Linked DNA regions of Coturnix japonica. The protein of the gene in region 1 interacts with the protein of each later gene in a pairwise test. Links are inferred from orthologs where the notes say so. Each region holds a gene or a part of one and is shown on either strand. Other genes may lie near its edges.

Region 1 (3,744 bases):
GGTAATTGCTTCCAATACGTATCCCAGGACAGTGTCTGGTAACCAAGGCAAGACATTTTCATCACATCTGCTAAGTTTAAAGTTGAATTTCATGACTGTGCACAGATAGAACACGAGGTGAATACACTGTTTTAATCCCATTTATATCCTTGGGGGATATGGGTGGGATCCTGAACTGCATACAGGCTTAGAGCTAGTCTGTGCGGGTGAACTTCATGCTCCAAGAGCAATATCCACAGACTCTCAGTGCAGAGAAAGGTTGTACCACCTCAGATACCACGTTTCCAGTGAACACTTTCAACAAGAAACAGAAATGCATTCACAGCCAGACACTACAGCTTGTGATATCTGTTCCTTGGCAGCTTCACTACTGTGACTTAATAGAAAGACTCTCCGTGTTTGAAGTCAGTTAAAGGCTATGGATCAAGGCAGAGGAAGAAAGAAGTGTCATAGCCAGAAGTTTTTCAAATGGATAAAAAAATAATTGTCTTTTTTTTCTCTCCCTCTTTTAAAAAAGACACAAATCTATTGTTCTGAGGAACTAAAGCAACCAATGTTAGCTTCCTTGTTTATCAAATCTCCTGCTTCTGCTCTGTATGATGGGTCTGAAAAGGCAGATCAGCAGAAGATTAGCAGAGAAGAAAGTTGTTCAGGCTCAGCCTAGACTCCAAGGAGAGCCGTTACACATTGACTAGAGCCAGCACCCCATTATTGTGTCCAATGGCAGCAGGGGCAGGGCTTTTTTTTTCCCCAAGAAACAAGTCCCACTGCTGTTCCTTTCACTGGATAATACCATCTTGCTGCCCAGTCTGGCTGGGATCAGCGGTCACCGAAGGACTGGGTGTATTGCTCTGCAAAAATCGACGGAAGTCCTTAATCATGGGGCGGAGGACCTGGATGAGGGCACTCAGTGCAGCCTGTGTTCCTTCCATGGCTTGAGCCTGGCGTTCCTGCGCACACGCCTGCACCTCCTGAGAGCGACGGATCATTTGAAGCAAGTCATTCTGCTGCTCCAGATGCTGGGCGATCTCCTTCACGTGTAAGTTGGTGACTCGCTGCTCCTGCAGGAGCTTGGCTGAGTTCAGAGCAATGCGGCTTTTCAGCTCCTGAGGTTTTGCAGATACTTCGTGTTGATGTGCCATCATCTCCAACGGTGCTTCAGCAGTAACTGCGGTGGGGGCTTCTGTTGTGCAGTACTCCACCACCCCGTCCTCCAGACTGTGGTACGTCGTCTCTGCAGGAACTGAGAACAAAGGACAGAAAGGGGGTAAGGAGTAGCTGCAAAATGGGTGTCCTTATCTACAGGACTATTCAAGGAATGTAACAGGAATACTGCCTGTTCTGGGAGATAACATACAATAAACAGCGAACGCGCAAAATAACTTCAGTCAACTCCACCCTCATCCAAGTTTCCTTCTCGGATGTACCGAGTAAGGTCCAAAGGAGCAGGGTGCGCCATCCCTGTCTAGACAAGATCTCTTTTAGGGCACCATGATTAACCAACTATGATTAACCAAATGACACAAGGCAAAGACAAGGACTCGAATGGCACTTAGCAACATGATGGCCTGGTTGGGGCAGTTCAGGAAATCAGCCCTGGAGATATTCCTCCTTTATTGTAGTTCATTAGATTAAGGGACCAAAGGCTCCTTGCTTTCCTGGCTTTAAGGCTGACCCCAGATGACTTTCACGTGCATCACATAGATGCTCCCCTACATCACAAATGTGTTTTCACGACAGATGGGCACTTAGTTTTGACAGGAGCTCCCTGCAGTGGGATCACAGGAAGGTTCCAGGCCTCCATCAATGCAGATGGAGCATCTCCACAGTGCACAGCACTCACTCTGGGTCAGTGTGACGGTGGTGGCGGATGCGGTGATGGGGATCTCGGTGCCGTCTGCAGCCCCGCACTCCCCGCCGGGCAGGCTGATGATGGTGGCCTCTCCCAGCAGGTTACAGATGCGCTGTTGCATTGGGGTGAGGATGACGGGAGCTGCCGTAGCACCCGTAGGGTCCTCACCCTCCGTCCCAGCACCGCCTCCATTGTGGCTCTCGCTGCCCCCTTCCATGGCCGCTCTCACTTGTGCCACTTTACGCCGCACCTCAGTCTTGAGGTCGGACCATTTCTTCTTCACCTCGGGCAGCTCTCGGTGGCAGGTGGCGACGGCGTTGACCCTCCGCAGGATGTCGTGCCAGGCTGCGGCCTTGGCAGCCAGCGGGACGCCGGCGTTGAAGTGGTTGATGAGGAGATGTTTGCCTCGCTCCAGCTCCTCCACGATGATCTCCACCTCCCGCTCCGAGAAATTCATCTTCCTCTTCTTGGCCGGGGGAGCCGGGGGCGACGCCATGGCCCTGAGGGGGAAGCGGGGGAGGTGATGCTCAGCGGGCTCCTCAAGGGGCTGGGGGGGGTTGCCCAGCCTTCCTTAGCCCCCCCCCGGCCCGCTGACCCCGGGGAGGAGCGGGGGGGAGGCCCGAGGCCCCTCGGGGCCCGGAGGTGTCGCTCCCTCCCCGCTCCCCCCCTTGGCACCGCTAACGATACGCAAGTTGCGTACCGCGGCCACCCAGCAAACCCAGTTCAACGGCCTCCACCCTGCGACACTGGCGTAATGGCTTCCAGAATCAGCCCCCTTTCTTTCCTCGCCTGATTGGGCCGCCCGCCTGTCCGTCAGGTGAAAGTCTCGCCCCCAGCGAGCAGCGCTGCGCTGTCATTGGCCAGTCGCGCCGCCCATCGAGGGCAGCTGGAGAAGGTCCCGCCTCCCCGCCTGCCTCGGCCCACTGGGCCTGCGTGAGTCCGGCGGGACCCTACTCCTGCAGCTATTGGCTGCACGCCCTGTCCGTCAACACCCAGCCTTGTCCCTTACTCCCAATCTGATTGGAGCGGTTGTGTCTTTACCCTCAGCTTTCAACCAATGGCATCCATCTCCGGCATCACATCCCGCCCTCTTCCGGCCGCGGCGGTTCTGCGCTCCGATTGGTGCAGGGAAAGGCGTCAGTCTGACGTCACCGAATTGCGCGCGTGGGCCGGGCTGTGGGCGTTGGCGGGGAGCGCTCCCATTGGCCGGCGGGGGGGCGTCACGTGGGCGCGGCGCCGTGTGGCGCGAAGGCGGAAGCGCTCGGCGGCGGCTCCTCGCGGTGCCGGCGGAAACGTCGCCATTTGCCGGCGGGCGGAGCGGCAGCACGGAGCCACCATCATGCCGGGAGCGCGGCGCTCATTGGCCTCCCCGGTGATGAGCGGCGTGCTGTGCCCGTGCGGCTCCCCGCGGGCCGCCGCCACGCCCGGTCCCGGCTCTGAAGGGAGCCCGTGCGGGAGGGCGGCGTGTGAGGCGTCCGAGCAGGACCGGCGGCTCCGGGCCTTGTTCCAGAAGCTGGACGTGAATCGTGACGGTGCGTTGTGCATCCACGACCTGGCCGTGGGGCTGGGCCGCCTCGGGCTGCACCGCACCGAGCTGGACCTGCTGGTGAGAGACCTGCGGCTACGGGATGAGCGAGGCCGGCTGTTAAATACGGCCTACGGGGCGTCTGGGCGGTACCGGGACCCTCCTGGGCGGTACCGGGACCCTTATGGGCGGTACCGGGAGGGTGTCAGGGCGGTACCGGGGGTTCTGCCTCACACGGGGTGGGCCGGGAGCGTTGGTGCCGTGCCGGTGCTGCGCGTTCCGAGCAGCGTCGTTCCGTTGTAACCGTTTAAAGCCGCGTGAACCGGCGCCGTGTCCGCCCTCGTGCGCAGCTTTAAGTTACTGGAAG
Region 2 (3,532 bases), on another chromosome or scaffold:
CTTCTCCTCCTCCTCCTCCTCTTCCTCCTCCTCCCTGGCCCCGCACGCACACGGGGAAATGAAAGTCATTTATTTAGAGCGGAAAGAGGAAAAAAAAAAAAAAAGAAAAAGCAGGAAATAACCGAGGGTGGTTGATGATATTGTTATAATTATCGTTGTTGTTATTCTTATTACTACTCCGGGGGTAGCGAACAACCTCCAATGGCAGCGCGTGGCCGCCCGGCCGGAGCAGAACTTGCCTCCGGGGGACTGCGGGGGGAGCGCGGAGGTTGCGGGGCTGCGGTCCCCACCTCCGGCCCGGCCCGAGCCCCCCGCCCGGCTCGCATCTCGTTTCTGCCCCCGTCAGCCATAGAGCGGCCTGAACGCTCCGCGCCGGGGCAAGGGGCGGCCCGACGGGGGCTGTTCGGAGCAGGTTTGTTAACCAAGCAGGTGCTCAAAACCAATAAGCCACGAACAAACGCGGCCCCCGTCGGGATTCGGAACAATTGTTTCCATTTAATAAATATTTTCCCCACGGGCGTTTGGAGGGAGGCAGGCAATTATTCAAAGCGAGTCGGGACGCGGGCCGGCTCCCGGGGTTAAGCGGGGCTGCGGAACGGGGGAATTGGCGGCGGGGAGCGGCCTCGGCCCGGCGGAGCGCTGTGCTCTCAGCCCCGACGGCGGCGGAGGGGTGTCGGGACCCCTGCACCCCCTGTCCCCATATACCGGGGGTCCCGATGCTTCCCCCCCCCCAGCTCTCCCCTCGCTGTTAGCGCGGCAACTCACAAAGCCTTCCCTTTAATCTGCGCGCTGATGGAGAGGGGGTGGGGGGGTCCTCATTTCCCCTCCTTTCTTCCTCCTCCGCCCTCCCCTGTCCCCTCCCCTCCTCTTCCTCTCGCCCTTCCTCTCTCCCTCTCTTTTTAAGCTGGTCCCCCTCCGCGCTGATTGGGCGCCCAGCCGCGCTGTGAACGCCCTGCCACTATGTCAGCCCGCTCGCCGCAGCCCCTCGCCTTTGAACTGCCCCGCGCTGCTCCGCGTCCCCACCGCCGGCCCGCAGCTGTGCCCGGCGGCTCGCCGCCCGCCTAGCCGCCCGCCGGGCCCCGCGGGCCGCCCCGCGCCTCCCCGCGGGCCGCTCCGCTCCGCACCGCTCCGCGCCTCCCCGCGCCCCGCCCCGGCGCGGCTCCCGGCGGGGACGGCGTCGGTGGAGGACTGTGATGATCAGCTGAGCCCTCGCCTGGAGCTCCTCCGGCTGCCCCGGCCGCCTCTTCTTCCTCTTCCTCCTCCTCTTCGTCGTCGCGGTGCCCGCAGAGCGCCCCGCACCGCCGCGTCCCGTCGCCCGCCCGCCCGTCCGCCCGCAGCATGTCCAAACCCAGCGACCACATCAAGCGCCCCATGAACGCCTTCATGGTGTGGTCCCGCGGCCAGCGGCGCAAGATGGCCCAGGAGAACCCCAAAATGCACAACTCGGAAATCAGCAAGCGGCTGGGAGCGGAGTGGAAGCTGCTCTCCGAGGCGGAGAAGCGGCCCTACATCGACGAGGCCAAGCGGCTGCGGGCGCAGCACATGAAGGAACACCCCGACTACAAGTACCGGCCCCGGCGCAAGCCCAAGAACCTGCTCAAAAAGGACAGGTATGTCTTCCCTTTGCCTTACCTGGGGGAAACCGATCCCTTAAAGGCCGCCGGGCTTCCCGTGGGGGCCACTGACTCGCTGCTGAGCTCCCCGGAGAAGGCCAGGGCTTTCCTGCCCCCCACCTCAGCACCTTACTCCTTACTTGACCCCAGCCAGTTCAGCTCCAGCGCCATTCAGAAGATGACCGAGGTTCCTCACACCTTGGCCACCGGCACCCTGCCCTACGCCTCCACCTTGGGATACCAGAACGGGGCGTTCGGCAGCCTGAGCTGCCCCAGCCAACACACCCACACCCACCCCTCACCGACCAACCCTGGCTACGTGGTGCCGTGTAACTGTACCGCATGGTCGGCCTCCAGTTTGCAGCCTCCGGTTGCCTACATATTATTCCCGGGCATGACCAAGACTGGCATAGACCCCTATTCTTCAGCACACGCGACTGCTATGTAACACCCGCCCACAACCCCACGGGCGGCCCCCACCCAGGGGAGCCGGCCGGATTGGGATTCCTCCGTGTGCATGTACATAACCCCGCCGGAGCCTCCCGAAGCCAGGACTCTGCAGCCCGGACAGCCGCGGATGCGCCCCGGGGGACGAGGAGATGCTGAGAGCTGTCACCGGGCCCCGAGGTGGGGGGTGGGTGGGAGGGGGAGAACCTGCAGCAGCGGGGGGCGGATAGGATCCAGGCACCGGGCCGAGTTGTAAATGTGTTTTAAAACAAAACAGAAAAACAAACAAACAAACAAAACCAATAAGAAATGAAAAAGAAAGAAACAAATAACTCCGAAAATCCGGGAGAAAAAAAAAAAAAAAAGAAAAAAAAAGGAAAGCAAAGAAGAGCGAAGCTCGAACTGCCCCTCTGGGACAAAGGGGGGGGGAGGGGGGGGAAGGAGAGAGGCGGTGATTTTAATTTATTCCCTGAACGTCTCTGAGTTCTCCATGGTCTCACGGCACTTGGATGTGACTTTGGGATGTCTCGGTCCTGTTCTGTTGTTGGGGCTTTTTTAAGGGGTGGGGTGGGGGGGATTTTTTTCCTTTTGCACATTGAAAGACGAGAGCGGCTGTGTTATATATATAAATCTCTATATATTTTGCCACCACGCTTTAGTCGGGAAAGAAAGCAAATTGCTTTTTCGTGTCTCTTCAAAGTTCAAAACGGAAAGAAAAAGCAAAACGGAGGGAGAGAAGCATTTCTATTTCTAACATATGATAGTGTTTGCTTCATTTCTAACAGCTAGTCCTTCAATTTGTGTGATCCAGTGAGATTAGATCTAAGTTTACTTTAGGCAGAGCGTCAGGTCTGAAGTCAGGCGGTAGAATTGTACAAAACAAATGAACGATGCTGATACTAATACTACTAATAACGGAAAACCGAATAATCGTAATAAAAATGATGGTCATTTCAATACGTTTTCGCGATGTCTTGGGAAGGAAAAACAAAACCGTGCGTATCCGGTAGGGTTTTATCTCGTTGAACCTTTACGTTGGTTAAACAAAGCCGTTCGGAATGAAGGCAATTTGGCGTTGAGAGCGGTGTGAGCGCGGTGCCCGTCCCGCAGCCCCGAGCCCCGACGGCGCGCACCGGGCGGCCCCGCACCGCGTCCCGCACCTCTGCGGGCTCCTCTTGGAGCCCCTCGTGGAGAGCAGGAGGCTGCGGGAGGACGATACATACAAACAACGAGGGGGGGAGAGCCGGGGAAAGGAAGGTGGTGGTGGTGGGGGGGAGGCATCCCCTTCCCCTCCCGTCGGGGAAAAGTGAGCTTTGCGAAGTTACCTCCGCGGAGCTGAAGTTGTTACCGGTGCGACGATTCTCTCTGTCTTTCTTTTAATTCTTTTTAATTGAATTTTTTTTTTGGAAGTCGGGGAGAGGGGGGGGAATTAGCATCGTGCCGGGGGACAATTAGCGGTGTCCGGGTGCTAT

Evidence for each region. The genes of interacting proteins can lie anywhere in the genome.
Region 2: the proteins of NAIF1 (region 1) and SOX14 interact in binary tests that used the Homo sapiens proteins (3 or more experiments, as listed by UniProt). The two-hybrid records come from large-scale screens. The link is inferred for Coturnix japonica from reciprocal best matches to the Homo sapiens genes NAIF1 and SOX14.

The regions. Positions count from the first base shown.
Region 1 is NC_029532.1:3,577,362-3,581,105, reverse strand, and holds the start of NAIF1 (nuclear apoptosis-inducing factor 1), read right to left. Parts: upstream 2,910-3,744; 5' UTR 2,894-2,909; intron 2,654-2,893; exon of another isoform or gene 2,553-2,653; intron 2,353-2,552; 5' UTR 2,349-2,352; coding exon 1,844-2,348; intron 1,244-1,843; coding exon 780-1,243; 3' UTR 1-779. UniProt on the Homo sapiens protein: Induces apoptosis.
Region 2 is NC_029524.1:3,146,993-3,150,524, reverse strand, and holds SOX14 (transcription factor SOX-14), read left to right. Parts: upstream 1-1,128; 5' UTR 1,129-1,338; coding exon 1,339-2,061; 3' UTR 2,062-3,017; downstream 3,018-3,532. UniProt on the Homo sapiens protein: Acts as a negative regulator of transcription.